Linked DNA regions of Astyanax mexicanus. The protein of the gene in region 2 purifies or fractionates together with the protein of the main gene of each other region. This does not show direct contact. Links are inferred from orthologs where the notes say so. Each region holds a gene or a part of one and is shown on either strand. Other genes may lie near its edges. The genes, in order: utp15, utp4, wdr75 and wdr43.

The links.
Region 1: the proteins of utp4 (region 2) and utp15 purify together in Homo sapiens (co-immunoprecipitation; 4 studies listed by BioGRID and IntAct, counting the BioPlex papers as one, with this or other methods). This does not show direct contact. The link is inferred for Astyanax mexicanus from reciprocal best matches to the Homo sapiens genes UTP4 and UTP15.
Region 3: the proteins of utp4 (region 2) and wdr75 purify together in Homo sapiens (co-immunoprecipitation; 3 studies listed by BioGRID and IntAct, counting the BioPlex papers as one, with this or other methods). This does not show direct contact. The link is inferred for Astyanax mexicanus from reciprocal best matches to the Homo sapiens genes UTP4 and WDR75.
Region 4: the proteins of utp4 (region 2) and wdr43 purify together in Homo sapiens (co-immunoprecipitation; 5 studies listed by BioGRID and IntAct, counting the BioPlex papers as one, with this or other methods). This does not show direct contact. The link is inferred for Astyanax mexicanus from reciprocal best matches to the Homo sapiens genes UTP4 and WDR43.

What each region holds. Positions count from the first base shown.
Region 1 is NC_064416.1:14,403,048-14,411,011, reverse strand, and holds the start of utp15 (U3 small nucleolar RNA-associated protein 15 homolog), read left to right. Parts: upstream 1-4,188; 5' UTR 4,189-4,322; intron 4,323-5,666; 5' UTR 5,667-5,703; coding exon 5,704-5,793; intron 5,794-5,889; coding exon 5,890-5,982; intron 5,983-7,964. UniProt on the Homo sapiens protein: Ribosome biogenesis factor. Involved in nucleolar processing of pre-18S ribosomal RNA. Required for optimal pre-ribosomal RNA transcription by RNA polymerase I.
Region 2 is NC_064416.1:19,241,315-19,249,241, forward strand, and holds the start of utp4 (U3 small nucleolar RNA-associated protein 4 homolog), read left to right. Parts: upstream 1-4,522; 5' UTR 4,523-4,612; intron 4,613-5,703; 5' UTR 5,704-5,723; coding exon 5,724-5,882; intron 5,883-6,727; coding exon 6,728-6,916; intron 6,917-7,014; coding exon 7,015-7,189; intron 7,190-7,460; coding exon 7,461-7,672; intron 7,673-7,786; coding exon 7,787-7,927. UniProt on the Homo sapiens protein: Ribosome biogenesis factor. Involved in nucleolar processing of pre-18S ribosomal RNA. Part of the small subunit (SSU) processome, first precursor of the small eukaryotic ribosomal subunit.
Region 3 is NC_064418.1:43,448,539-43,456,812, reverse strand, and holds the start of wdr75 (WD repeat-containing protein 75), read right to left. Parts: upstream 3,709-8,274; 5' UTR 3,669-3,708; coding exon 3,583-3,668; intron 1-3,582. UniProt on the Homo sapiens protein: Ribosome biogenesis factor. Part of the small subunit (SSU) processome, first precursor of the small eukaryotic ribosomal subunit.
Region 4 is NC_064421.1:41,015,580-41,023,473, reverse strand, and holds the start of wdr43 (WD repeat-containing protein 43), read right to left. Parts: upstream 3,695-7,894; 5' UTR 3,642-3,694; coding exon 3,408-3,641; intron 1-3,407. Other genes in the region: trmt61b (tRNA (adenine(58)-N(1))-methyltransferase, mitochondrial), read left to right, coding at 6,627-6,993, 7,683-7,894. UniProt on the Homo sapiens protein: Ribosome biogenesis factor that coordinates hyperactive transcription and ribogenesis. Part of the small subunit (SSU) processome, first precursor of the small eukaryotic ribosomal subunit.

The DNA.
Region 1 (7,964 bases), about 4.8 Mb from region 2:
GAAATTGTAGGATATTGCAGAGTCAAAGGTTTCCTTTTTACTTCATACTTCCCAACTCATGTGATTAGTGTAAGCTGAATAATGCTGTTTAGGATATATTACACACTGTCCTTTACTCAGCATCCTGTGACTGCTGATGATGGACTAGAGGATGACCGACACAAATTGTGCAGCAACAGATTTAAAGCTTCTACATTTACATTTAAGTCAACTTAGAAAATATCCAGAGCAAGTTTGTAGATGCTAGAATTAAAATATAAATCAAGCTTAGATGCTGCTTAATACAAAAGTCATTATGGATACCAAGAAGAAAAGTGCTAATTTAGTAACTCTTTAAGTACATCTAAGATCTAGCCCAGCCTTTACCTTTACTTTCCCTTTGCAGTGCCTTATTTCCTAATGCTTTTATGTTCATGTTAGCTCTGTGTCTCCTCTCATGTCTCTGCCCTAGCCCGGCCTTGGGTGTTATCTGTAGCCCCGCCCCCTCGTCGTCTGGTCCAGATGTTTCTTGTCTACTCTTGTGTAATAGTCATGCCTTTTTATTTTGCTTGGTAAAGGCCTATCACAATAATTACGTTATCGACTTTTGTACAATAAATGCACATTACCTTAATCACTTCTGCTGATGATGTGTTTATCTGCTATCACATTTCTGTAAAGCTGCTTTGCGACATCAAGCACTTTATGAATCAATTTTAGCTTAAAGAAGAATTACTGCTACTTATTTTCTAATTGGTCATCTACTATTAGGTAATAGTTAAGTAAATTACTGTGCTTGGGATGAAAAATGATTATAAAATGACAATAATATAATTTATGTCAATTATGGAATTGACATAAATCTGGAACTATTGTCCACAAAAAAAGCTATCGTGACAGGCCTAGTCTGGGCTACAGCTTAACAGGAGTGGTTTTGGAGAACACCTCTGATCTACACAAATCTGTGTATATCTGTCCCAAATGGCTTGCGGTCCTGTAGTCCTTACATGCATGTGCGTCATGCATCTACATGACATCGCAGCTCAAGATACTACACCACCATTAAAGGACAGGGTGAAAGGAGCATAATAAAGCAATTCACTTCCTGTTCAACTCTACAAAAGCCATCCCCCATATCTACACATGTAGAACAGTTTCTGTTGTTATATTGAAATTATAAAGATAAATTTGTTTTTACCTCGTTATTTGATGTAAACAGCTGTAAACATATGCATTGTGTTGTACATGTTTGTTTTTCGAAGAAGAGCCAGGGTCAGATCCCTGATGAGTAAACTAAAGACATCTGTTTCAAAACTTCCTGAAAAGATGAAGGAAAGATATAGCAACATAAAAAGGACCCATGTCACTTGGGTTTAGTTCATCATGTTTATATGTTTTGGTCATAGACACCCTATACATAACCTCAATGAAGACCAGCTTTTTGCCTTACTGGTACACAGAGAAATGTGTGCTATTGTTTTGAGGTACACTGTATTCATTTGGATGCACAAACAGTACTTTGGTTACACTACAAAAATATATCTGAATATTCAGGCTGGTAACACCATCCGCAGACTAATTTATTCACTCTATTTCCCCAACACACTGGCATTACAATAATGCCAACAAGACTGCTTAAAGATTGAATTACTCTTAACCTAGCAGTGGTGGGAAAGTCCTGTGTGTGGTATCTAAGATGCCAGTCTCAAAATAATATCTCCCATGTGGTTCATGTGAAGTTTTGGTGAAATACAGGAAATGTGCGTTTATGCCTGTGTTTGAGTGTGCGTGTGTGTGTGTGTCTGTGTGTTTAAAACAAGATCTTCTTATTAGATTATGTGACAGCACTGTACCTTGTACTTTTAACTGCCAGAGCTAATAGTTTCTGATTCATCAAAGAAATAACCCGAGGAACTGTTATAGACACTACATAGAGGCTTAAATCTTTATCTAAATTTGGTCCAGTTAGCTTCTTCCTTCCTTATACGGTGGGATTCAAAATTCTTAGTCATAATTACTGTGAATAGTTAGGTGAGTAAGTTTCCCACCTAATTCCAAAATGTATAAAGTTAAAGATTACATATTTTTAAAATCTTTTGAGCAAGATTAATCTTTGGGGTTTTTTTTCTTTTTTTTCCAAAGCTCAAAAAAATATTATGGTGTGATAGTGCCAAGAATGGTTTAATAAACTTTAATCATATAAAAGGACAGCATAACAATGTTAACAAATACAATCCAATACAATACAATAAGTGTCGACGTTCAATATATGTTTTCATATCATAAAGACTACAAAGAAACTTTCTAGTAAAAAACTCAAGCTCCTCACGTCATCAGTTAAGTCATGAAAATATAATACAAGTATTTACAAGATGAGGGAAAACTTGTATTTACCAGCTGGAAAGTCATAATGCAGATTTAACAGCAACAGTTGATATTTAAATGGTTAACTCTTATCTACACTGCTGTGCACAAATGCTACTGATACTTGTACTAGCTTTGTGGTACTCGGATCCAGTCTCGGGTCTTGAAACCATAAGTGATTGATCTCTGTCTTGACTCTGTCTCAACTTTGTGACCGTCCAAGTCTGATGCATCTGTCTGAGGAAATTATTTGAATCCATCAATCCGATAAAGGTTTAGAATGAGGGCAGATTGCTGTCTGATGGCAGGGTGTTTTCACACATAAAAGTCTGGACCACACTAAGGTTTGTGTGTTTGTTACATTGTGTACATTTGTTTTGGTTAGTATTGGGTTCACACTGCATTTTATTGAGCGGACTTAACAATTGTTATCATCGGCTATGTGGGGGGAGTCTCTCTATACTTTATATTAGTTGGTTTGAAGAATGTTTGTTATGAGTTCGGCTAATCAGACTGTCCTTCGCGTTAAAATAAATATATACTTGGCTCATTTTTAAAACGGGGTGGCCCAGTGGCGCAGTGGGTAGTACTTCTGTCTCACAGCAAAACGGCCTGAGTTCGATTCCCAGTTGGGGTGACCCGGGTCTTTCTGTGTGGAGTTTGCACGTTCTCCCCGTGTCTGCATTGGTGTGCTGCGGCAATTCAGGCTAATTAGATGTCGGATAAAATTGCCCCCCTAGGTAAGTATGTGAGTGAAAGAGTCTGTGTGTCTGTTTGTGTCTGTCTGCCCTGCGATGGATTGGTGCCCTGTTCAGGGTGCATACTGTTCAAGTGCACTATAGGACTCTGTGGCGTGGCCTAAGGCTTTTGTTCTTAATGGCACTTTTTCTTCCTTATATTACTTTTACTTATATACTTAAATGAACTATTAAATTTATTATACTAAAATGAGTACTTTTACACTTTTAAAGCTTTTTACAATAAAATAAAATACAAAAATACTTTTGACACCTTTGTTGGGCACCCTGTTCAACACACATTGCTTTTATTTTTGTGTTGTGTGAGTCTATAATCTACGGAGCCAGGGCGGGGCCCAGGATAAAAAAAAGAATTAAAAGCAAACAATATAGCAGATCATGCTCACGTTTTCTTTAAATTGTGTAAACGATTTACAATTTGTTCTTATGATTTCCCAATTCGCATAAACGATTTGCAATTCATGGTCACAATTTTTTTAATTCAAGTGAATGATTTATTTATTTTGAGCGAACAATGTTTTTTTTTGAGTTCATGTCCACACAGGCAGGATAGTCACACATCTCCAGTGCTTTTCATGTCTGTTACAATGCCATTTTAGGGCCACTCTTAAAAAATAAAACCTGTTCACTTAGAAAATAAAGTTATAATATTATGAGATTAAAGCCCGAATATTATGAGAATAAAGTCGAAGTATTTTTAGGAAAATGTAGTTCTAACTGCTTGGGCTGCAGTTTAAGAACAGAGCGTGGGGGGAAGGAAAAGATGTAAGCTGGAGACATGTTTATCCTGCCTATGTTGGGGAAACTTTTTTGTGCTCATATAAATCGTTTGCTCAAAATAAAGAAATTGTTGCCTCGAATTAAAGTTTTTTTTTTACTCAAAGTAAAGAAATTGTTCACTCAAATTTAAGAAATCGTTTACTCGAATTAAAGAAAACGTGAGCATAAACTGCTAAATCGTTCGCTCGATTTAATTATTTTTTATCCACGGCCCCTCCCGGGCTCCGTAATAATCTCGTCCCCTAAGTAGTGCACTAAATAGTCAGCACGGACCAATTTGAGATGCGCCCAAATGCGCAGCAAACGGAAGTACGTAGTCCAACATGGTGGCGTCCGTGTGGCCGTAGAAGCAACGTGATTTCTCTCCACGTTTAGCGAAAAAAATACAAAAAACTGCAGTTTAAACCAGCGCGGTTTCTCCAGGAGACGGCAAACACTTCGGTACTTTTTTTTTACATTTGTGTGCTCGTGCTACTCGGCCGCGTCTGGCCGTGTTTCATTACTTCTGCTGATAAACGTATTACTTTAGTAGACTAGCGGTGGCTAACCTAGCTAAGCTAAGCTAACTAGATAACTTATCTCATTATTAAACTTGTTACATAGTTAGCCCTACATTTTTGTTTCTGCACGTGTATTGATATTCGATTTTTTTTTACTGAAAATAAATCCCACAGTGTGTTGGGTTAATTTGGTTAGTGTAATTTAACAAACAGTTTTGATTTAGTCTTAAAGCTGGGTTAGGTTAGTAATGCTACAGCCTTAAAAGGGTGCTCTCTAAATAGTGTCTGTTAAATATAATAGATGCAGGACCATGACAATTCACAGGCCCTTTACATACTTAACCCTATGGTTTCTTCGTCTTGTTGAAGCGTTACTATCTACTATAAATCAAACAACTATTTCTTAACCCAAAGAACCCATGGTGACATACCTAACAGACCTTTAAAAGATGTGCAAAGTTTCTTAAAGCACTTTGTCCTTCACTTTAATTTAAGAAGTTCCTAAATCACATATACAGAACATCCTGAGAGCATCGCAGGAAAGTGTGTGAATAAGTGGTCACCTGACTTTGTTTACAGATTGTAGGTGTGCTGGAGATAATTGTAGCTGTGTTTTCACTTATTTAAGTCTGTTTTAACCAGTTTAACTATTGAAATGCTCTAATAAATTGTTTTCCACGTTGTTGTCGAAATTTTAACATTAAGGAAAAAAAATGAGCTGTCCAACTCATTTAATAAAGTAAATTTTAGATTTTGTATCAATAATCTGAACTGAGTCTGGTCTCTTATGGGTTAAAACACATTTAAAATAATTGCTCTTCTGTCAATCTGTGTTTTATCTTTCTGTCTGTCAAAATGCTATCCTACCATTGTGGACACACCTTCTCTTTTTAAATATGTTTTCTTTATTTTCATGACTATTTACATTGTAGATTCTTACTGAAGGCATCAAAACTATGAATGAACACATGTGGAGTTTAATGTATTAAACCATAAAAGTGAAATTACTTAAAAAAAAAAAAAGAATATTCTAGTTCCTTCAAAATAGCCACCCTTTGCTCTGATTACTGCTTTGCACACTCTTGGCATTCTCTCAATGAGCTTCAAGAGGTGGTCCCTGAAATGGTTTTCCAACAGTTTTGAAGGAGTTCCAGAGGTGTTTAGCACTTGTTGGCCCCTTTTTGCCTTTACTCTTCAGTCGATCAGTTAGTCTGTATTCTTTGTTGTTCTTCTGACAATGGTGGATTTTAATGAACTACATTTTGAACATGTTGCTCTTTTGTAGGCCTTCCTGGATTCCTGAATGAGAGAACACTGCTCCAATGGCATCCTTTAAACCCACTAAAGTCTATACGTATCCAAAACTAGGAGAGAAGGTTACTGAGGATACACTGTACTGGAAAAACTACAAGGTATCCATGATTCTTTTTATTATTTATTTCTAAAAATTGAAATAAAAGAAGAATGTCATTTATTTAACGTGTTTGATTTGTTGTCTTCTGTTTCAGGCTCCTGTGCAGATTAAAGAGTTTGGTGCTGTAACAAAAATTGAGTTTTCTCCAGTGGCACCTCACAATTACGTAGTAACTGCCTCCACCAGAGTGAGTTATTTTTTTATCTCACACTTTTCTTTTTTGTATATTTGAACAAAAGGATTTCAGAACATTTCTTTTACATTACATTACAGTACATTTGGCAGACGCTTTTGTCCAAAGCGACTTACAATATTGAAGTGCAAATAATAGAAGAGGTTAAGTACAAAAATAATAGAAGTTAAAAATAAAGCATCTATAGATAGGGCCTTAAGGAGGTCAGAGGGAAATAATGGGATAGAGGAGTAGAGAAGAGGAAGAAGGAGATGAGGTTAGAATTAGTTAGTTTGTTAGAGGTGTTAGGAGAGTAAGTGCTCTTTGAAGAGCTCTGTCTTCAGGAGTTTCTTAAAGATAGCGAGAGATTCTCCTGATCTGGTAGTGGAAGGTAGTTTGTTCCACCATTGGGGAACGCTGTATGAGAACAGTCTGGATTGCTTTGTGTGAGTGTTTGGCAAAGCGAGGCGACGTTCATTGGAGGAGCGCAGCGGCCAGGAGGTAGCGTAAGCCTTCAGGAGTGAGTGCAGGTTGGAAGGAGCTGTTCTGTCATCACCTTGTAGGCGATTGTAAGAGCTTTGAATTTGATGCGAGCAGCAACCGGTAGCCAGTGGAGCTCAATGAGCAGCGGGGTGACATGTGCCCGTTTTGGTTGGTTGAAGACCAAACGTGCTGCTGCATTCTGAATCATCTGTAGTGGTTTTACTACACAGGCCGGGAGGCTAGTTAATACGGCATTGCAGTAGTCGAGGCGTGAGATTACCACAGCTTGTACCAGGAGTTGGGTGGCCTGTTGCGTCAGAAACGGTCGAATTTTTCCGATGTTGCAAAGCGGCAGGATCGAGCAACTGAGGCCACATGGTGCGTGAAGAGAAGCTGGTCATCAACCAGAACACCCAGGTTCCTAGCAACCTAGGTGAGAGAGAGAGAGTCGATGGTTATGGCAAAGTTGTGTTGAATAGAAGGTTTTGCTGGTATGACCAGAAGTTCAGTCTTTGAGAGGTTTAGTTGGAGGTGATGTTCCTTCATCCATGCGGATATGTCTGAGAGACGCTGTGATATTCGTGCAGAGATTGAGTGATCATCTGGTGAGAACGACAGGTATAGCTGGGTGTCATCAGCAAAGCAGTGGTAGGAAAAACCATGTGAGCGGATAACCCGACCTAGAGAGGTGGTGTATATTGAGAAGAGAAGAGGTCCCAGTACCGAACCCTGGGGAACCCCAGTGGGTAACGAGTGGGCTGGGGACAGCCGTCCTTGCCATGACACCCTGAACGAGCGCCCAGTGAGGTACGATCTGAACCATGACAGCGCATTGTCTGAGATCCCCATGTTCGAGAGTATAGTTAGGAGGAAGTCATGGTTGACTGTGTCGAGAGGTCCAGCAGAATGAGCACTGAGGACTGTCCTGCAGCTCTAGCAGGTTTTAACGCTTCTGTCACAGACAACAGAGCCGTCTCGGTAGAGTGTCCTTTTTTGAATCCAGATTGGTTCTGGTCCAGGAGGTCATTTTGGGTGAGGAAGCCAGAGACTTGATTGAGAGCTGCTCTTTCTAATGTTGTAGAAAGAAAAGGCAGTAGTGAGACCGGTCTGTAGCTGGGCGGGGTTGAGAGAAGGCTTTTTAAGCAGTGGTGTGGCCTGTGCTTGTTTAAAAGCAGTCGGGAACACATCAGATGTTAAAGAGGCATTGATCGTGTGAGTAATAGCCGGAATGATTGCAGGTGCAATGGGTTGCAGAAGGTCTGAAGGAACCGGGTCAAGTGGACACGTAGTAGGACGGCTACGCGTTAGGAGAGCCAGTGTCTCGTTCTCAGTGAGAGGAGCGAACGAGGAGAAAGCGACGCCTTCGGTAGAGGGATACCGGGCAGCAGAGCATGATGTAGGACTGCTACATGTCGCATCAGTAAACTGTCTGCTGATAGCTGCCACTTTCCCAGTAAAGAATGAGGCAAGAGCTTCAGCCGTAAGGCAGGTAGCCTGAGGAGGAGGTGGAGGGT
Region 2 (7,927 bases):
CCGTGCAGTCTCGTGGCTGCAGCCTCTCATTCAGCCCTGAACAAGAAAAAAAAAAAACATCAGCCTTTCATAACTCCTCCACCCACCCACAACCCTCCTCTTAAAGCACCACGTCACTGCAAACACCAGGAGAAATATGACCCCATTACAGAGCACACTTAACCTACATAAAGAGTGTGTGTGTGGGGAGGGGGTGCCCCAGGGGAATAGTGGTGGTGATGAGGGGCACAACAGATTCAGTACATACACGTGCATTTCCACCACCTAAAATAAACTAAAAAAATCCAGCACATATTTTTCTTCTCATTATTATGTAATGTTTTTAGATACTATGTTTATTTAAAGCAGTTTTTGCTGACTTAGTATCAAAAATAATGAGATTGTATCTTCATTTAATGACTTTGCATCTCAAATTACTGACTGCGTTTTAAAATGAGATAGTATCTCAATTTAATGATCATGTATTTTAAAATAGCGACTTTGTATCTAAAAATATGTATCTCAAAATAACGAATTTGTATTTCCAAAAAATAATTCTAAATAATGATTATGTATTTCAAACTAATGACTGTATCTCAAGAATAATGGGATAGCAACTTAATATAGTGATTTAATATCTCAAATGAGATTAAAGAGATACTGAGAGTGTATCTCAAAATAATGACTCAGTATCTCAAAATAATGTGATAATGGGAATAAGCTTCCATAAGATGGCAACAAGGCCCAAAAAAGCAAATTAGGAAATTTAACATTTCTTACACAATTCAATGTAAGACCACATACTGCACACATTACAGAGAAAGTCATGGCTACAGAAGAAGAGGGTGTGGGACTGGACTGGTCTATCTGCAGAACTGACTTGTCCTCAATATATAATGTATACAAATAAAATATATAAAGCAATGAAAGGGGCTCCGAGTGGTCCACTATGATCAGGAGATCACTGGTTCGAATCCCAGTCATGTAGCTTGCCATCAGCTGCTGGCGCCCTAAGAGAGTACAATTGGCCTTTTTTGGTGGGAAGATAGTGCTCTTTCCCCTTATCACTCCAAAGGGTGATGTCACTCAGCACAAGGCTGCGTCTGTGAGCTGATGTATCAGAACTGAGTCACTTCGCTTTCCTCCGAGTGCGCTGTGATGCTACTTGACAATGCTGCACCAGTTTGAAAAGAGGTGGTGGCTGACTTCAAATGTATCAGAGGAGGCATGTTCTAATCTTCACCCTCCTGGTGTTGTAACATCACTAGTGATGGGGGATATACAGCTGAGTACCAGCTAAATAGATGGGGCATAGCTAAAATGAAAGAAAATGGAAAAAAATAGAAATGAATTAAAAAAGAAAAGCAATGAAGATGCCTTGTTGCACACCTTAATGATGACATAATTGCAGGAAGAATGGGAGAGACGAACACCTGAAACACTCCACTGCTTGCCGAGTTTAAGGGGCCAAAACATATTTTAGGTTTTGTGAACAGAATATATGGCAAATATAAGTGGCAAGTGCTTTTTTTTAAAGCGCAAAGCCTCATAAGCAAGGCTGCACTGATGATATTTGTTACTGTCTTGATAAGGATAACTGTTATAGCAGTGTCTGTGGCTGTTTATATTAAAGCTTCTGTTGTTTGTAAAGAAGATAGAAACGTAATGATTTAATTATGATCTTTTATTTGCCACTTATCTACAAAATAAAACAGCAGAAATCTAGGAAACTATGTAGATGCAGGGAACAGCAACAGACACTGCTAGAATTAATAAAGACTAGATTATGGCACACAAGTGCAGCTTATCACACATTCTGGGCCAATGTTACTTCCTCTCAGCTGGACTGTTATGAAGGCCTTACTGCATCCAGTTCCAGTTACTGAGTCTGACTCATATTCTCTCTCTCTCTCTTTCCTTCTCTCTCTCTTTCTGAGAGAGAAATGCATGGACACTAAAAGGGTCATTTCATGAGGTGATAGCATTATTTAGGAAAGCAATCCACCCAAATACTGCTGTACAAATCTTTACCAGAAACATACTTGGAATAACTATGACACTTAAAGCAAATAATACAAATTTAATGGATCATTCTAGGGTCACCATCCGTCCCATAAAATATGGAATTGTCCTTTATTTGGCAATTAAATGTTGTGTCCCATATTGAACCAATACTGGGTTCTGTTTGTTCCATCTTTTCATTATATGGGACATGATTTGTTCTGAATTTCCATAAATGTCCAACACACACAGACACACACACACACACAGAAACACACAAACATCAACACTAAATCCAACAATAATGATAAATAATGATTGATTTGCTATCTGGCTGTGCTTGATGTCAGTCCGTAGGGCATACCTTATTTTAGTAGACTATCGTGATTTGATTGATTGTCTACACATTTCCTATATTAAAAGTGTTTGTAGGGTATTCTGTGCATTTTGTGTCAAAATGTTTATATTTCAATATAAATATATATAAAATTATAAAATATAAAATAAAATACACAGGAGTCTGGCCCATGAGGAGCTGTGGTAAATTATATGATAAATTATTATCATTTCTGAAAAATGGCAACACTAGATCGTTCATACATGGGAGCATTCTAAAAAAGCAGCTAATTATATATTAATTATATATAATATAATTTAATTATATAAAATACATATATTAAGGGATTATAAAGAATTTAAATATACAAATTCTATTAAACAGAACAGTTTTCAGGTAATATTTTAAACACAAAGTCAGTTCATTATATTATAAAAATAGACTGACTGTTCTGGGTTCAGTACTTAGTGTACTGCTGCCCTCTAGCGGCAAAAGACATGACCTGCTGCCACAGAGCCTGTAAAGAAAGGAGAGTACCCACTCTTCAAAATTTGATCCAACACGCGCCTCTCTTTCATACACTAGAGGGCGCTCCCGAGGGAGACCAAAATTAATGGATTTAATAGGGAGCTATTGAGCAAAATCGTTGTTTATAAATGTTTGATAGTGTTTAGAATGATAATGTACAGACCAATATGACCTTTTTCAGTACCACACACATTATTTTAAAAGCTTTACACCCGCTGGTAGCGTACCAACTAACCAGCTTACAGTAACAGTAATGTTAGAGTCTCTTTTATTTATTTATTTTTTTTAATTAACAAAATTTAAGGCAAAACCACAGCAAATAAAGCGACTGACAGTACATATCCAAACAAAACTAACAGAACAAAGAAACGTGGGATTCAAATAAAATAAAAAAAAGCTTCAAAATATCAATGGATTTAAGACATTTCTAATTCATTATTTGTTGAAAATTTGCCATGGTGTGTATATGATTAGCTATACAAGTCAGAATAAACAAATGTTTGGAATGAGGGCATTTTTTATAGCAAATTATTATTTTTTTAAAGCAAACTAAAAAGTGAATCCAAAAAGACCAAGAAAATACACAATAAAAAAGGGTTCAAGGGATTCTGTGGCTCCTTTACAGAAAACACACGTATCACAAAATAGCAGTAACCGGGTAAGTAACCAGCGTCTCAGTTGTTTGTTTTCAGCAAAATACTCCAGTATGCTCACCAAAATGAAAGCAGCTTCCTCTCCACAGGTTGTTGACTCACCAGAGTTTTAACCCATTTGAGTTTTTAGGCGTTTAGCGCCGTTCAATTAATTTTGGACTGACTCGCGGGCTCCCTCTAGCGGCTGATACTCATTTTCTGATATACAGAGTTGCCAGGTTCGCGTTTTTTCCGCCAAATTGTGTTTGTTTGAAAATCCATTCGCAAGTGAAAATTCCGGGGTGGCGTGGTGCGTTTTTTGGTCTACTTTTAAAACCTACCGCGGCCGCGGTAACATCAGAAGCAGAACAACCTCAGTACAACACATTTTCAACTCACAAAAGTAATTCATAAGTCATATGTTAATAATTTTCTTTTTCTAAATCTAGCCTATAGGCTACTTCGTTTTAATTGATTTTAATGTATGTATTTTTGCAGCTGAATAAATGATATAATATATATATATTTTTAAAATATATTTTAACTTACATTTAATGTATATATATAATTAATGTTAATTTACATGGAATTTATATCAGTTTATATCAGTTTGTTTTTACTTGCCTTTCCCGTCTTTTCATTCTACAATACATTTTACACGACTCATCTATCTTTCTCTCTATGTTTTTTTTCTTTTCCCTTGTTTTATATTTGCAGCTTTTTATATTATATATTAAAAAAAAACTTTTGCCGTTTGATTTTTAATTTTATTTTGAAGTGTTTTTTTTTTTTTTACGTTAACGCGCTTCGGGTCTCAAAATCCGGGGTAGAAAAGTACAAACTCAAAGTCCCTTTGCATTCACAAAAGTAACATTTTATTGCTGAAAATAAAAATAACGTCATTAAACCTAACATGAATTAGTACTATAATAATATATATTTTTTAATCTGAACGTAATTGTGAGGCAGTTCAATGTTGAGCTTTTTTTTGTTGCAACAAATCGCCGGGACTTTTAATTCCAAAGTCAGTTTCACTTCCGGCTCTAAGGTTCTCAACGTGGTTCCCGCAGCAGTCCAACGTGTGGAGCAGCTGAGAATGAAGAGAGCGAGTTTATAAAGGAGATTATTGAATAAGGTAGGATCATTACAGCGGTATTCTCCTGCACGGTGTTCTCCTGCATGTCCTTCAGCTATTTTTTAGATAGTTATGTCTGTGTGTTTAGTTTCAGATCAGCACCAGTTTCCTCAGCAGTGTTTTTACCTGAGCTGTAGTTCAATATAACTCTACAGCTCATTAAACACACATTCATACAAGTTATTGTTAGGCATTACAGAACTGACTCTTTAGTTACTGTACTCGGAAGTTATCATTACTGATTTTTAGTGTTTGATACAACCTTAAATTATCAAAGTACAAAAAAATATTTAGAGACTTAAGCTGTTCACTGGATTTATTAAATGATGATTTAGTTTAATAATCAGTTAATAAAGGCTTTCGCCAGGTTAACGTCCTTTCAGAACAGAGGAAAAGAATGAAATAACTTGCCTGATCGGTTTATGTCTTTTAAAAATTGCTTTTCTACATTGTACTATAAACTATTGATTAAAGTAAGGGAACAGTTCATTGAGTTGATTAAATTAGCTACTTAGTTATTGAGAAAAATATTTTTTTATCCAGCTTAGGAAACACTTTTAATATAGAGAATAGTAATAAACTGATTGTTAAATTTATAGAACAATTTAATAAATTACAAAAATAAGGAACACTATCAAATTTAGGAAAGAATGTATACATTTATTCAAAATGGTCACAAATAACAGCAATAAACATTTCTATATGTAAGAAACATTATGGAATTCCTAAGTATTCTCTCAGCTCATTAGTAATTGACACTGGTTAGACATTAGTAAATGCTACTAATTGTTTAATCTTAAAAATGTTTAAAACAGTAATAAATAGATACATTAAAATGTAGATTAAAATGTTGTAATGAATGTTAATGTCTTAAATCGTATCAGTAAATAAGTATTTGAGACATTTTGTGATGAGTACTGTTAGTTCATGTACCCTTATTGTGAAGTTTTAAATAGGGGGGAGCAATTTACTAAATTTAGGGAAGGATTTATAAAGCCTAAGAAATTGTTTGTCTCTAAATATTATATATGTATCCTAATACTTCAGTGATCCTGTATGATTTAACAAAGCATGTCATTGTTCTTTTCCAGTTGCTTGGTTCTTCTCTACAATGGGGGAGTTTAAGGTGCACCGGGTCCGGTTCTTTGACTACATGCCGTCGGCTATCCGAGCTCTTGCCTTCCAACCGCAGCGGGAGAAAATTGCTGTAGCCCGGACAAGTGGCTCAGTGGAGATCTTTAACTGTGCTGACCGCTTCTTTCAGGAAAAGGTCTGTGATGTTAATTTATGTACTAAAGCTTTCTCCTACTCAAACAACCTGTACTTTTGATAGTGTAGTTATCCTAAACTCTGTGGGTTAGTTTCTGGTATAGTGAATAAGCCCCTTCATAGACTATATTTTATTTTCAATGGAAATCTCTGTTCATTGTGATGCGTAGTCCAAGACTAGGCATAATCCTTGTCTAGAACACTTCCCGTGTAACATTAGACATTAGCTTTACATTCTGATTTTGCCAAAAAAAATGGCAGCCAAGGCTGTAATTGTGTCTGAAGTTTATTCTTTTAGTGTTCTATTGGTGCAAGAGGCTAATGTAGTGATCATCATCACCTTCTTCTTGTCTGCTAAGTCTAGACATCTCTGTCCTCTCCTTTGTAATCCCTAGGCCAGTTTGGAGATAAAATCCCTTCAATGTGTTCTGGGTCTTGCTCAGGTTCTCTTCCCAGTTGGTTGTGCTTTTCTCTTATCCTATTCTTAAATATCTACTGTAGATTTCTTTCCTTGTAGAAACGCTGACTGATCAGCAACGTTTGGGATATGTGTAAAGTTATGGTGATCTATTTATTTAGCAGACTGTTCCTATAAATGTTGTATGGGTAAAGGCATGTTTGGTAAAACTTAAGTAATCTTTTGTGAGAGTTATTGGGTTACATGTTGAAAAGAAAAGAAAACCTCTGTAAGCTTCCTCTATCTGAATTAAGTATTTCTGTATTTTAAAGTGTGATAAGCCTATTATTTACTAATAGTAGAATTGGTGCACGCTTTACATTTGGGTAAAAAGTTTTGCTATTGTTTTAAGAACACTGTGTGAAATTAAATTTTGCCTCCATTAACAGATAATTCCAGGACGAGAGCAAGCTGCTACTGAGGCCCTTGCCTGGGTCGGGGATCGCCTCTTCAGTGCTGGCTTGAATGGAGTGATTAGTGAATATGATTTGGAAAACCAAAAAGTGAAATACACAATCGATGCATTTGGAGGCCCAATGTGGACCATAGCTAGCAACCAGCAGGGCACACATTTAGCTGTAAGTGTTGTTTGGTGTTTAACTTAACAATTTGAATTGCCTGGCTTTTTAAAAGCAGCGAATGAGAGAGAGTTTTATTTGTGTTTGTGTTTTTGCAGGTTGGGTGTGAAGATGGGACTGTGAAGCTGTTTGAGGTGTGTGAAGGCAAAATCCAGTTCGAAAAGAATCTGGCGAAGCAGAAAGGACGTATTCTCTCTCTCTCCTGGCATCCCTCTGGTTCTAGGATAGTAGCAGGAATGATGGATATGATTCGGGTTTTCAACACAGAAACAGGTAAGCTGTAGTTAGAAACATATAGTTTGCATTCTTTGTGTAACTCCCTTAGAATATGCGTGACATTTTTTTGTTGCCAGGGACCTAATATAAACAAGTTAAAACTAAATTATAAGCAAGAAGATGTATGAATATATTATGCCTGTTCAGTAGAAGAGAAACTAGTCACACTGTAAATATGTAAGCTACACTAAAATAACAGGTAAAAGTGGCTGAGTGACCATAGCCTTAATCACCTGATGCATGACTCTTGTCTTGTGTTGCCCTTTAGGGCAGTCAGTACACAGGTTACTGGTGGAGCGTGGAATAGGAGCCTCCCGGAGTGTGGAGTGTGTGGTTTGGGGTGTGGTTTACCTCTCAGATGGCACCATCATCAGTGGAGATTCATCCGGAAAGGTTAAAATATGGGATGACCTCACTGGAACACTCATTAAAAGCCACCAGGTCACCAAGTGGGATGTGCTGGCATTATCAGTTTCACAGGTGAGATGCAATCAATTGTTGATTGACTGATTGTTGTAGATGCACAGCTGATTTGTTAGGCGCCCGCATGATTTCAGTAAATGAATTGCATTTGGAATTCACTATGATCCTCAGGATGAAACCAGTGTTGTTGCTGGGACGTCAGAAGGTACTGTGGTCCAGTTCCAGTTCCTCTCAGTAGTGCTGGGCCAGGAGGACAAAGAGTGGGTCCAAACAAGGATCTTTAAGAACCACACACATGATGTCCGGGCTGTG
Region 3 (8,274 bases), on a different chromosome or scaffold from region 2:
GATCTCCTCATTCAACACACCTGCTTCAACTCATCAGTGAGAGCAGAGAAATAACAATACCATCTACGACAAGTACTGATAAGCCCTGTTCTACACTACACAACGGCTGCATCCAGAAACTTTTGCTTCCTCTCCTCCTCCTCCTTTACTCTCCTAGGTGGAGGAATGAAGGAGAAGAGCACAATGGAGAGAAAAAGCTGTAATTGGGGAAAGTGGGACAGCTGATCCCTTTTAATAGGATTTTGTGGTATATCGATATGTATTATTTACAGAATCTGTCACGGACAGGCGTTTTACTGGCGTCAGCTCGTCGCACAGCTGAACACAATCAGCCTCCGTAGCTGGACTATCTCTGTGCGTGATGATGTAATCACATAGGCACGTAGCCAGATAGGCTAGGCTAGGCTAGATTTGGCTAGGCTAGGCTAGGCTCGGGTCCGCTACGCATCTAAAATGCCTCGCGCTGGAGCCAAACGGAGCCGGGACGAGCGGATCCAAGGCTAAGGTAGGCTCAGTTCGCATCTGAAATGCTCCGCGCTGGAGTGGAATGGAGCGGAACCAAGCCGAGCCTAGCCTACCCTAGCCTCGGGTCCGCTCGGTCCGCCCACGGGTCCGCTCGGTCCGCCCACGGGTCCGCTCGGTCCGCCCACGGGTCCGCTCGGTCCGCCCACGGGTCCGCTCGGTCCGCCCACGGGTCCGCTCGGTCAGCCTCTGGTCCGCTCGGTCCACCCACGGGTCCGCTCGGTCAGCGGTCAGTCGCGGGTCCTCTCGGTCAGCCGCGGGTCCTCTTGGCTCCCAGCACGGGACATTTTTGATGCAAAATGAATGCCCCTGCCACAAGTGATCAATTGAAGGAGGGAGGTCTAATTCAGTGGTGAGGATTTGGTTCAACTCTCGAAGGTCTGCTAAACTTCAGTTTGCTGCAAATTGTGCCGGAGAGTGGAGCAGGTTAGCAGCGGTAACGTTAAAACATCTAATCTGTTCCGCCACCTCAATCAGTTACACTACATACAATATTTTCCTTATACTGGCTGAATCACTTTTATAGCGTATGTTGTAAGTTATTTAAAGTTTATGAATCCTTTAGGTTTGTTTATTTGACGGGGATATCATGTTCCTTTTATGTTTATAAAGAGTTGTATTTTGGCTGAAGCACTTTTGTAGCTTATATTGTAACTAAGTTATTTATAGTTGATAAAGCCTATAGGTTTGTTTATTTGACGGGGAAATCTTGTTGCTTTTATGTATATAAAGGCTTCTTTTATTCTTTATCCTAGTTGAAACACTTTTGTTTTGATCTGTTAAATTTGTTTACAAAAGAATAAGAAGCTCTGCTTCTGTCCTAATTTAAAGTTATTTTTATTGGTAATAGTTATATAGGCTTATGTTTGACAGGGATGTCATGTTTTTATTTTGCTATATGCAAATAAAATTGAGCATTGATTTATCTTGACTATTTTTAATTTCTTAAGTATTATAATGTTTTCGTGAAAGGAGGTTTCAAAGACTTAAATTAAATTTTCAGACAGTAGTAGGTACATATTTCCATTGCAGGGATTCTTCGCAGTTTTCTGTGGCCTTCTAAGTATTTATATCGATATCGAAATTATATCGTATCGACCGAAATTAAGGAATATATCGTGATATGAATTTTGGCCATATCGTCCAGCACTATGACCACTAATGAACTGAGCCAATCACAATGCTCACTTCAGCTCACCCTAATAATGCCCAGCCAATCAAAGCAAACATGAGAAATAAGAAAACACGATTTAGCTCTTTTTTTGGTCATAAAGTGTTTTACAAAACCATCACACAATACAAAAAATACAATCACAGTATAAAATGGTACATTATCCAAATGCCTGTTTAAAAGACTGAAGAAACAGCAAGTCTTAGTGAAGGTTGCAAAGTGTTTCACAGTTTGAGAGCAAAAACCTTAAATGTTAGTGTGCAAAAAGCAGAACACCTCTTAAGTTAACACTGTTAATTACCGTATTTTAGGGACTATAAGGCGCACCAAATTATAAGGCGCATTTTAAGCGACACTAGTGAGGAACAAGGGTGTCACCATGTTTCCCTTCTAATTAATCAGCTTCTAAACCCATACTCAGTTTAAACTTGCTTAGGTTGTTAAGATTTTCAGCTGCTTAGTAGGGGTGGGCAATATTATATCGTATACAATATATCGTGACACAGAAATATCATGATATTAAAAATCCATATCGTGATAATAGGGCTGTTCTGTCTTAAAAGTAGTCTATTATTTACTGTGAAGCTTTAGGTGCATTTATTGTATAATTGTTTTAGTTTGCAGTTTATATGCATGCACTAAATATTCTGCAATATTATTTGCTGAATTATATTATTTTATGCTATATTATTTATTTTGCCACATTATGGTTATACTGTTATACTATTATACTATATTCCTATTATATTATTTATTATTATATATTCCTCACATTTTAGTTTTCCTATATCGCCAAGTATATCGTTATCGCAAAAATACCCTGAAATATCGTGATATTATTTTAGAGCCATATCGCCCACCCCTACTGCTTAGTTGAGCTGGTCTGCATGCAATCACTAGTAAGTATTATATAGTTAGCTTTGTTTTGAGTGATTTTTGTATCAGTAAATGCTAACTGTACAGAATGCTAAATGATTACCTTACCTAGAGTGGCTACTGTTAATTTGTGTATGTTTCGTAGTTTATGCTAAATGTGCTGAAATTCTTATTTCATAGATATCTTATAAAAGTAGGCTAATGTTGTAAGTTTGTGTAATTTCCCGTCTTCTAAAGAAGTGTTTTTGCACCACAAGTCTGTATGTTGTCTTAATAATCCAATAAATGAGTGGCATGTTCATGAGTGTGTGAGAATAAACAGTTTTGCAATTAACATCTCCTTGTTCTTGCAGGACAACCTGAGGACAACTCAATCAGCCCTAGTCTACATCACTCTTGTGCTGCCACCAATTCAGTAATATTTCAGTACCTCCCTTCAGTAATATTTAATATCCAGGTAAGGTTAACCAAAAAAACAACCTAGCTAAATGTGTTGGCCACTGAGACCATGCTATTACTAAATATGATTACCTTTAAATGATCCTTTACCACCAAGATGTAAACACGTTTGTGTCAACTTGCCAAAAGTTTTGCAGGAAAAGGAACATACAAATCTCCACCTGATGAAAAAATGCCTAATATGAACTTCATTTAGGTAAAATTTAGTCAGGGCATGTAGTATTCAGTAGTTAACCAGGGTAAACATGACTATCAACACATGGGTATTTAGTTAGTTAGTTAGTTAGTTAGCTTCTTTATGATTGGGAGGTGTCTGATCTCTGATTATTCAGCACTAATCTGAACATTTTGAATAAAAGAATAAGCAAAACGCTCCACACTAAGCATTAAACAGCAAAAACACATGTTTTAAATCTTTTTAAATATGATAAATTGGAATACGTTGTTTACAGAGCAGCATATGAAGCTGCAGAAGGCCCCATCTCTCTCAGATCAGCTCACACTAGTGAGGAAACAGTGAGTATAAGAGGTTTTTATCCGGTCGCTGATCATACCTGCAGTCTTTAGTGATGATCGGAGCTCTGAAATTGATTTTATTGCCGCCGCAGCGAACCACGCGGACCCCGCTCTGCTCCACCATGATGATCTTCTTCTTCTGCTGCCGGCCTGCGCACGCTGCTGCCGCCTGCCAACCGGAGACAAAATAAAAGTCCTTTTTGGTAAATTACGTTTTATTTTTTTCTGTTTTCGGTTTTTATCGTTTTTATTTGTCACATTTCGGATTTTTTTAATAGCACTGTCATTTTTTTAATAGTATACAAATAAATACAAATATTTTAAACTGTCAAGTTTAATGTTGCAAATAAATAAATGAATGAAAGAATAACTATCATAGACCTAAGGACCCAATGAATTTCATTTTATTATATTTTTGGTCAATTATGTTTTGTTTTTTCTGTTTTCGGGTTTTATCGTTTTTTTTCGTCACATTTGTGATTTTTAGGTTGTTTTAAAAGTACTGTCAGGCGATTAAAAAATAATATAATTAATTGCATACTGTGTAATTAATTAATCACATTCATCATAAACATATTTTAAACTGTACAGTTCAATTTAATGTTAGCTAAGGAGCAAATGAATAAATGAATAACTGACATAGACCTAAAAGCTTCCTGTAATGAACATGATTAAAGTCCTAGCGTTATTTCGTTTTTTTTTTTGTTTTTTTTTTTGTGCTAAATTCAGTTTTTTAAGTTTAGTTTTTATCGTTTTTATGGCACATTTCGGATTTTTAGGTTTTTTAATAGTACTTTCAGGTGATTAAAAAATTACATTCTCTGTAATTAATTAATTGCATTAATCATCAAAATATTTTAAACTGTGCAATTCAATTTAATGTTAGCTCAGGAGCAAATAAATAAATACCATCCGTAGGGCCCTATGAATTCCGTTTTTTTTTTTTTTACTAAATTCCTTTTTATTTTTTATCGTTTTTTTGTCATATTTCGGATTTGTAAGTTTTGTAAGATTTGTAAGTTCAGGCAATAAAAAATAATATAATTAATTACATACTCTGTATGTGATACTCATTGCATTCATCATTCAAATATTTTAAACTGTATAGCTACAATTCAATTTAATGTTAGCTGAGAAGCAAATTGATGAATGAATTAATTACATTTTTACGTAATAAGTCATCCTGGAAAATATATGTTAAATAGAAGACCATCATTAAATAATCAAATCTCTCTATGTTTAAAACCTTGTCAAAATTAGGAAGCTGGGTTTTAGAAAAATCTGAATCTGTACCTCTTAATGAGGGAGATCTTTGCAACTGCCTTTATTGCTTATTTAAAAATAATCAAATCTGTTTTTAATGTTTAATTAGTAAGCACCAGCATTGTGTTTACAGTCCACAGCTGTAAGAAAAATCTCTGAATTGGCACAGATGAGAAATGGAGGTCTTGATGAGCAGCCTTACTGTCTTGAAAAGTTTAAGAAAATATTTATCCATTTAAAAAACTTCTGACTTCTGCAATATTCTTGTTTAAAAAAACATCACTTTTTCCCAAAAGGATTTATTTACTAACATACATTTTGGCAAACTACAATGTAGCCTTTTTATGTCTCTTTGTGTCATCAGTGGGGTCCTCCTGGTTCTCCATAGCATTTAATTTCATTGAAAGTTGAAGGATAGTTTGTGCTGACACTGATGCACCCTGAGCCTGAAGGACAGCTTGAATTTCTTTGGAACTTGGTTGATTGGTGTTGGTGCTGCTTATCCACAATCCAGAATATCCTGTTCTGCAACCTTTCATCAGTTTTTCTCTTCGTCTCTTCCGTCCACGTCCAGAGAGGTTATGCTACAGTGCTATGGGTTGTAAACTTCTTGATTAATTTGTGCACCATTTGTGAAACATCAAGATCTTTGGAGATGGAGTTGTACCAGTGAGAATGTTGATATCTTCCACAATTTTGGTTCTGAGGTCCTCAGACAGTTCTCAGTTATTTAACCACAATTTTGAAAAGAAGGTGAATAATTGAGTACAACCCATTGATATACTATAAAAAATTGCCTTATTTTTTTTTTCTTCTATTACAATGTGCACAAATAAAAATAAACATGTATAAAAAATGGGATAAATACTTTTCAGGTATGCCAACATTTCCACCCATGAAAGTATATTTATTTTAAAATACTTTCAAAGCAAAAAGTAATGAATATAATTAATCATGGAGCATGTAATTCCAGAAATTCATTAAAGTATCTATCTATCTTTTTTAAATCATTTTGACCACACTAATAACAACATATGTCCTATATTAATATTATAATATGTCAGCACAGAATTAACCACTGTCTTTCAAGACTCTTTTCATGTAAACTTTCCTATAAATTGGTACAGTGTTGCTGAGAATTGACACATTACTGAAAAACACAATATAGCTATACTCTGTGGAACACATAGGAACTGCGGATAAAGATTAAATTATTCCTAAATAAATATTCTGGAAGTCTGCCACATCCTCATGACACAGAAGTCTATTGTGATTATAGAATGCGGTGTCCCTCATGTGTAACATAATAACCTAATTTTTGTGATCAGTTTGTGATAAGTGATATCTGATCTCTGTGAGAAAGTGATAATTCAGTAGTGTCTTCAGTTAGGTGTCTTCAGTAAGGCGGTGGTGTCGTGAGACAAACTTTACTGCATCAGCTCCATCAGAGGGGAATTCCCTTTTCTTCAGAATGGTTCCTTGTTCATGAAACACACCAACAGTTTCCTTTAAAGCCTCACCTGCAGATTATCCTGAACCGACCCACGGCTGCAGCTGCTCCTCAGATTTTACCTACAGTTACATTATCTACTGTAACTGTATCTGATTCCAGGCCTACATACACTTTCAGCTTTTAGTGTTTCAGATTCAGACAAAACAACAAAACAAAACATATAGAGAGACAAAGAAAGTTTATAAACAAATAAAACTAGAAAAAGAAAAAAAAAAGAAAATAGAAAGGAAGTCCAAAAAAGAAAGAAGAAAGTCTACAAAGAGTGAAAGAATGTTTAAAAAGAATGAAGGAAAGAGGAAGACTACAAAAGAGAAAATAAAAGAAAGCAAGACTATAAAACAAAGAGAGACTGAAAAATAGTTTCTCAATAAATTAAGAAATAAATAAATACTAGAAAAAGGAAGAAACAAAGGAAAGAAAAAAGAGAAAGATTGAAAGATTGAAATGTATAAAAAAGAAAGATAGAAAGAAAGAAACCAAGACTCTAAATAAATAAATAAGTAAATACTAGAAAGAAAGAAAGAAAGAAATAAACACAAAAAAGAGAAACAAAGACTAAATAAATTAATAAAGACATAAATAAATAAATGGTTGGATAAATAAATAAATAAATAAACACAATAAATAAGAGGAAGAATAAAAACTGAAAGATTAAAATACTAAAACAATAAAGCAAGAAACCTAAACAAAAAATGTAAAAAAGTTAAGCCTAGAAAGAAAAAGAAAGGAAAACTTAAAAGAATTAAAAAATATATAAAAACAAAGACTTAATAAATGAATGAATGAAAAAATAAATACAAGAAAAAGAAGAAAAAATAAAAAAGAAAGAAAGAAAAAAAGAAAGAAGGAAAGAAAGAAATGAAAAACTTAAATGAAAGAAAGATATAAGAATATAAGAATAAAGTACTAAAAAATGAACGAAGAAAAAAGAAACCAAGACTCTAAATAAATAAAGTAATAAATATGTAAAGACTAGAAAGAAAGAAAGAAAGAAAGAAAGAAAGAAAGAAAGAAAAGAAAAGAAATAAATACAATCAAATAAATATAGAAACAAAGACTAATAAAAGATAACGGAAGAAAGAAAAAAGGCAGAGAAAACAAAAAAAAACAGATAAAAAATGAATGATTAATTCATGACACATATATTAAACAATATAAACATACCGTATAATAAAATACTAAACACGTGTGAAAGCGGTGGAGGGCGGAAGAGAGCTGTTAGCCAATCACAGTGCGGGGTGGGGGCGTGTCCTGTGCTGATACTGGTGAGCTCGCGCTGGGGCTCAGGCAGCGCGCGGGAGGAGGCAACACAGCGGCGGAGCGGGAGGAGGACAGACCCCAGCGCTGAGCTCTGACCCGGACTATAACTTCACCTGCTCCGCTACAGGAGACCCAGCAGCAGCGCTACAGAGGATTACACACACTGTACACTGTTATTACCGCTCCTACAGCCCGACTACAGGAGCTGTAACACACCGGGGCTTTCAGTGTGGAGGAAACTCTCACAGGTACAGTATCAGCTCTAATCCTCTGTATATAGAGATAGATATGGGTTAATATCTGTATAACCTGCCTTTTATGTCTCAAGCTTAGTTTAAATGTTTAAATTTCATATAAACACTTTGTAACAACACATATTTTTCAAGGTTTGCGATGACAAAAAAAACACGTTATTACTCATGTAGAGGAATGTTTGCTTTCACTTTAAATACCTGTACATTTAATACAGTTGTCTTTAATTTATGTATGGCTTTAGTGCTCGACTGTTCAATAATATTCTTGGGATAAAAAAAGACTTTAAAAAAGACACTTAAAAACCTTGAAAACCTAAAAAGTTATCCAAAAGCGGTGTGTAAGACTGGTGGAGGAGAACATGCCAAGATGCATGAAAGCTGTGATTTAAAACCAGCGTTGTTTGAATACCAAATATTGATTTATGAATTCTTAAAACTTT
Region 4 (7,894 bases), on a different chromosome or scaffold from region 2:
AGTTCAAAAATGTGTAAAATTAATCTTGATGACCTTTAATACTGCTTTCAATACTATAAACTTTAGCATGTGTTCTTGAATGCTTATTTAAACAAATAACTAAATACACCCAAAAGTACAGGCTGCTCATTTAACATTTCTTCTGATAAAGGGCATTATAAAAGGGTTTATCCTGCTTTGTTGGAGTAACTGTTTCTACTGTCCAGGGACATTTTTCTAATAGATTTTGGAGCACTGCTTTAAGAATTTGATGGCATTCAGTGACAAGTGCATTAGCTCAGGAGGTCAGGATGCTGGTTTAATTCAATCCAAAAGTATTTAAAGGAGTGCCATTATTCCAGAGAACACAATTCTATTGCTCTACAGCTTAACAAGTTCACGAGTCCTATTCTACATGGACTAGACAAGTCATGTGTGCATTTGCACGTTTGTGTCCAAAGCGTAAAAGTAAGAATGCACTGATTAGAAAGGTGGCCACAAACACTTAGACACACTGTTCTCAAACATCACATGCTGACACTGACAAGGAATAAACTTGTAGTACTATTGTCTACTTAACTACTTAACTTCTGTCTGCTTTTCATAACCTAATATGTATCAGATTAATCCCACATATTGGGCCATTTTAATCAGCTGTTGACTTTACAGAAAACTTAAGCCCTATCCGGACGAGATTAGTTTCTCTTTTATGGGGGTTCCTCTGTAATTTTATTCCCGTCCGGAACGACCACGTACGTGTTTTTCTCAGACGTCCTCTGAGAAAATAACATGCTGAATTTCCTACTGATTTTTTGCTAAACTCTGTGGTAATTTTAGTCCTTTAAGGACAGGGTTTTAGTCTCGCTTATTTTTTGGAAACTTCAGAATGCATTAAAATAAAACCAAGATATGACATTAAGACTTTTTGATTGATTAAAGACATTTTAAAGCAAATTAAGGATTTTTTTGTTCCAAGTTAAACAAGACTTTAAGGAACTGCAGACACTCTGTATACTTAGCTGATAAAAATTTAACAGCAGTAGCAGGAGAGGAGACATCAAATATTTGTCAATAAAGTGTCCAAACAAAAATAATCACTTTACTCCCTACTTTATGACCAGAAGCTAAAATATTTATATTGCTGCTGACTTTACTTAAAGTTCAGTTTTGTTTTTTCTTGGAAGTTCAAAATGTATTCATGTAATCAAAATGTGGCATTTTAAGACCTTTTGGATGTGATATGAGGATTTGAGATATTTTAAGACAAGTTAAGGAATTTTTGTTTTAAGCTTTTTACATGAAGCTTTTTTTGAAAAACTGAAGACACCCTGTATATCATAGCTACATAATTATAGCAGCGGCATGAGACGAGATCATCTTAAAACGATAATGACATTTATAACAATTATTCCTATGTCAATAAACCGACTTTTTGACCAGAAGCTAGAATAATTATATTTCTGTTGACTTTACAGAAAGTTTAGTTTTGCTTATTTTATTTTGGAAACTTTAAAATGCACAACAAATAAAACAAAATGTGGCATTTTTAAGACCTTTTGTAATCTGATTTAAGATATTTTAAGACAAATTAAGGAATTTTAGTTTTTAGTTAAACAAGACTTTATAAAGAAACTGCAGACATCCTGTGTATTGTAGCTAATCAGAATGTTTGAATATGCGTAGCTGTTAATAGCATTGTTGTGCTTCTATATAACAATTACCTCAGTGGCATGATATGTGGTGATATTAAAATAAAACTAGAATATTAATATTACTGTTGACTACAGAAAGTTTAGTTTTGCTTATTTTTGAAAACTTCTAAATGCAGTAAAAATGTCATAAATGTGGGATTTTTAAGACCTTTTGGATGTGACAAATTAAAGAATTTATGGTTTAAGCTTTTTACATTAAAGAACTGCAGACACGCTGTATATCGCAGCTAATTAGTATGCTTGAATTTTTTTGGCTGTTAAAAGGAGTTAATAGCATTGATGTGCTTTTACATAATTATAGCAGTGGCATGAGACGAGATTTTCTTAAAATGAAGATAATGACATTTATAACAACTTTAAGGTGTCAATAAACCATTCAAAAAGTAACTTTTCTGCCAACTTTAGACCAGAAGCTAGAATAATTATATTGCTGTTGACTTTACCGAAAGTTTACTTTCGCTTTTTTTTTTAAACATTCAAAACATTAAAAAAGATAAAACAAATCGTGACATTTTAAAAGCTCTTGGAAATTGTTTGAAGATATTTTAAGACAAATTAAAGAGTATGTTTTTAGATTTTTACACTTTTTAAGGAACTGCAGACACCCTGTATATGTCAATTAGGATGTTAAAATATAGTTAATATAGTACAATTAGTTAATAGCACTGTTGTGCTTTTATGTAACAATTATATCAGTGGCATGAGATCAGATTACCTTAAAATAAAGAGATTAGTTAATAGCATTGTCGTGATTTTATAAAATTATTATATGAGTAGCATGAGATGGCCTTAGAATGACAAACATATCATTTACTTGCAATATTTATGGGACAATATCGTCTTAAGACGACATATTGCTCAACTTTGCTCCAGTTAATGCCAAAGGCTTTATGGCCAGAAGCTTTATTAAATATTAAATATATCATCAACATAAACAACCTTCAACTGTAGGTTTCTATATCTAGACCTTCCAGTTTACCACCTATCTAGTAATTTAAATACTACAACTTTTTTTTACATGGAGCTAGTTAGCTAACTAGCTAGTAACTTGGTCATTAACCATTTGAGCCTTAAGATTATAAATAACAAGCTCAAGCGGGCACTGTATTCAAAAACAATAAGCTTAATAAAGTTTTGATGGATATAAAAAAGGGAAAATTAGGTATTTTACAGCTTAAAACAAGGAGCAAGAGGCCATCTTAGTGGTCACAGCTAGGTTGACTAGCTAGTGGTGAACATGTGCTGCGAAGGACCACATGTGCGCCTTGCTTTGCTGCGATGCTAGAAGGCTAAGCTAAGCGCTAACGGGCTAGGCTGCTAACACGCTAGCTCAGCTAACTAACGAAGGCCGCTAACGTGGGTTATAGCTACTCAGAGATACGGGCAGGCGGATTTTGGCACTTATAAACACACACACAAACACTGAGAAACAGAGAGACATCCGCACAGCATCACCCAGTCCGGTTCGCTTTTTCCGAAGCGAGAAAAGTAACAGAAAGCGAGTCTGAAAGCTCCAATTTCAGCTGTTTTTCTCCTCCTGCCTCCATATAAACTGAGATTGAGCCTGAAGCTCGTGCGCTACTTTTAAACATCATCAGTTTAAAATAACAACGAATTTAACGGCCACTTAACGAGCGCTCAGGTTCAACTTATAAAAATCAGCACGTGCCGTTTAATTCAAATAACTGAACTACAGCTCTGTTGTGTCTCGCGCACCTTGCTGGTTCTGCACGGGCCCCACGCCACGCAGCTGCAGGCAGCGCTGAGCCGCGCGGAGGGCGCGTACTCCTGCCGGGGTTTCCCACCGCTGCCGCCGCCGTCCGCGTCCCAGATCCGCAGGCGTCCGTCGCGAGCACACACGGCCAGATACTGCCGCCGCGGCGCCGGTGAATAGGCGCACGGGAGCGCGAGAGAAGCCGAAGGAGCTGAACCTCCGCCGTCCGCCGCCATCGTTCAGCGCGACTCTGAGCGTGCGTAGCCGAGCGCTGGGGGAGACACGTGGGGTATTACGGAGCGCTGGAGAGAAGGGAGCACGCATGCGCCTGCTCTGTCACGTTTCGTGGGCGTGGACAAATATTCCACTTGACCAATAACGTATGTTAAATTTGTAAATAACAGTAAATAAACTGCTAATTTAATTTAATATGTAAAATATATTATTTTCAAGTAGGTGAAGGCAACTAAAATAAAAAAATATATAATTTTCAAAGACATAAAAATGAGTAATTGATTAAATTAATGGTATATTATTGGCAAATTTGAAGGTAAAGAAAGGCATTTATATATTATAAATAATCACATATTTATACTATTAAAATATAATTAAATGTGTGCAGCAGTTGTGTATGTATGTTATACAGTTAATGCATTTACAGGAAGAGAAAATAATATACAATCAAAAGAAAAATAATTATAATAAGAAAAATAAAATGATAAAATGGTCATTCTCAGAAGCTACGATATTTATATCCCACAAAAATCTTCTACTGTATCTAGGTTTCTATGTCTAGACCTTTCAGTTTACTACTAACACTTAAAATATAATAATTTATATACTATTATAACTGTATTACAGGAATGATTTTTTTTAGTTGAGCTAACTTTACTATCTAACTTGGCAACTAACCACAACCTTTGAGTCTTAATATCATAAATCACTCGAGTAGGCACTGTATTCAGAAACATGAAGCCAAAAAATAATAATGAATACAATAAAATGAATGAAAAACTGAATCTATGGAAAATGTTTTAAAAAGAGAGTGAGCGGAAAGTGGAGTTTTACTCACACCCTGCGGCCGCTCTCGATACTGCAGCTCTAATGTTTTTGTCGCTTGGCTTAGGCGTAACAGTGAAACATGGCGTTGCCCAGTCAGGGAGTCACGCTGTGTTTCTGCTCTGTACTGTAGTGTGCTCTGAACGCGCGCGGGTTTCTGTTTGAGATAGCATGAGCTCGTTTACGTTTACTGTGTTTTATTTATGTTGGAGCTGATATGAACTGCTCGACAACACACATCTCTACCATATAGTGTGTGTCTGTGAGTGAGTACAGTAGAGGTGAGTAGTGCTTAATATCTAACCTATCATTTTTTATACACATGCATGTTAATGGAGGCACAGATTAGTTACACTACTTACAATTCATATTAGTTACAATTCATACAATTGTATGTTCTATGTTATAGTATATTGTATTATTTTTTAATTTCTGGTCTGCTGTAGCATTGCTTACCCTGCAGCTTTTAGCTTGTTATTATAGGTTTTTGGAGGTTGTACGTTATATTTTAGTACTCAGAGATTTGTTGGACACTGTAACGTTATTCATTTGTTTTGTTTGTTGGTTGTAATACTTCTTAAGTCAGTATTTAGTTGTAGTTTACAGTTGCATTAAGGTCAGTGGGACGCTTATCAATTTAGTTTTCTATGGAGCCCAGGGAGGGACATGATGTATTTATTTATTTTTTTTTAGGTAAAAAGTGGTGAGCACCACATGCTATGCGGATATTTATAAAGTACTAGAGATCCAGACTTGAGTTAAAGTACAAGTACTCTATCAAAAAAGTGACTTGAGTAGAAGTTGAAGTGTTCTTTAAGCAAGAAGTTTTATTATTTCTAATAAAACTAAGTAGCGATGTAGCGACTCGGTTCTAATACATCAGCTCACAGATGCCCTGTGCTGTGGCAATCACCCTCGGAGTGATGTGGGGAGAGAGCGCCATCTACCCACCTGGAGGGAGCGCCGGCAGCTTGATGGCAAAGCGAACCTGCGACCTCCTGCTCATCGTGGCAGCACTTTAGACCGCCCCGCAAGTAGTTTATTTAAACATAATCTACTCAAGTACTGAAAGTAAAAGTACAAGTATTGTACTGTGTAGTCTTTACAGATAAAAGTCCAAATTGTTTATATTATTTCAGATGTTCAGACTACAAGACACTCACAATTCCTTAGGCTGTAACAACAGCACAAGAACAGGAACGAACAGGAAAGAGTACATTTACATGAAGTCTTTGACGAACTCTCTAAACAAATTTACCCAAAAGAGAGGCTAAACAGTAAACTGTTAGGATATTTTAACAAATTCAACATAAAAGGTCACTAGTTGGTGTGTCACTATTGTAAAATCAACTAAAGCTGTCAAAGTCCAAGAGATTAGAGCAGCTTTAAATACGGAGATCTTTGTAAACAACAACAGATCAACATCATGTCATTCAACCTTTAAAGCATCTTTCCCACTCCAACAAATAAAACATGGACTGTAAGTAGGGCTGGGGATAGTCTTCCTCACTCTCACCACCACCACCATCACTCCAAGTTGAAGGTGGTGTTTCTGTTTTTTCCATCTCAAAACAAACTTAACAAATCTCCAGGGTTCTTAATGCAGGAAGGCAGCAGAGCAAAAGGCAGAACAAGAGCAGCGTGGCCTTCTTAAATAATCAGCTTGATCGCTTGCAATACAGTTTTCACATGAACAATGCATATTTTTATAGTATCATATTTAAAAAAATATTATTACTGTGAAAAAGTTACTGTTAATTGTTTGTTTGCAGTTTTCATGCACTAAATATGCTAAACTTTAGTTTTGTAGTACATTATTCTTATTACGTTACTTTATTTTTTATTTTTTTAGATTTATATTATTTTATAATAAAGGGTCTTGTTTCTACTGAATGTATGAAACTCTTGTATTTATGCTGTAGTATATTCTTGAAATTAATTAAAAAAAAAGCTGTTTTGTCATAATACCAAGAATATTGTCATTGTGAAAATACCATGAAATATCATGATATTAATTTAGGTCCATATTGCCCACCCCTAATTGACACCACTAATAATTATATATTCAAATTTAGTTTTAGTCCAGAATTCTTCTTTAAATATATTTAACTGCTTTAATCTGATCTTCCTCAGGTGGTGTTTAGGTGTCTCTCTACCTCAGAATGACTCACAGACTGACCAGAGTGTGTGCCACCTGTTTAAGGCAGCAGAGACTGAATAACAAGTATGTTGATGCCAGAAAAACTCCCACAATTTGGACACACGTTCTGAGGAATTTCATTATGGCTCCCAGCAGTTCAGACGGGAATAGTGATGATCCAGATGCAACGGCTCCACCTGGTCCAGCAGATTCACACTCCTCTAGAAGAGCCCTTCTGTTGGGGAGACGGAGACCCCTGTCTCCTTTAGAGCGGGTCAGTCAGCTGCTGCCCCAGGATTCGCTGAGTAAGGAGGTGTGGGAACTGAGGGAGAAAAAAGCCCTAGATGAAGCAGAAACAGAGGAACAGGCACAGGAAGTGCCTACTGTCGGTAAGGAAAGGCAAAAATAAAACTCCATGTTTTTACCAGTGCATTGAGATATACAGCTCTGGAAAAAAATCAGAGACCACTTCAGTTTCTAAATCAGTTTTTCTAATTTTGCTGTTTATAGGTAGATGTTTAAGAAAAATGAATTTTAGTTTTTTCTTTTAACTACGGACAACGTTTCTCCCAAATTCCAAATAAAAATAATGCTATTTAAAGTATTAATTTGCAGAAAATTAGAAATGCCTGAAATAACAAAGATGCAGAGATTTTAGACCTTAAATAATGCAAAGAAAACAAGTTCATATTCATAAATGTTTAAGAGTTCAAAAATCAATATTCGGTGGGATAGCACTTATTTTTTTAATGCATGTTGGCATGTTCTCCTCCACTTTGTGTCTTACACAATGCTTTTGGATAACCTTATGCCACTCCTGGTGCAAAAATTCAAGCAGTTCAGCTTGGTTTTATGGCTTGTGCTCATCCATCTTCATTTTGATTATATTCCAGAGGTTTTCAATTTAGTTAAGTGCTCTTTTAGTTTTTTTTTACCCATAGCTGTATACATACAGATAGATACAGCTTTTGTGGTGCAGCTTTGTTGTCTGTTTTAGCCATACTACACAAAATATGAAATACATTTTGATGAATTTTGAAGTATTTATTCCTGTCATGTCATCCACACTGGACTGTAGGTGAATCTCAGGTTGAGGATGATGCTGTAACGCAGGGCGAGGAGACTGAAAGGATGGAGCAGATGATGCAGTTTGGGGAGACCTTGCTTGCGGAGTATCGCCGTAGTCGGAGGGTGGAGTTCCGGAAAATGTTTCTGCTGCAGGAAGGAGCCAAGCTGCAGAGTAACTGGGGCTTTCTTCCTCACCAGACCATTGCAGGGCTCCCATCTGGA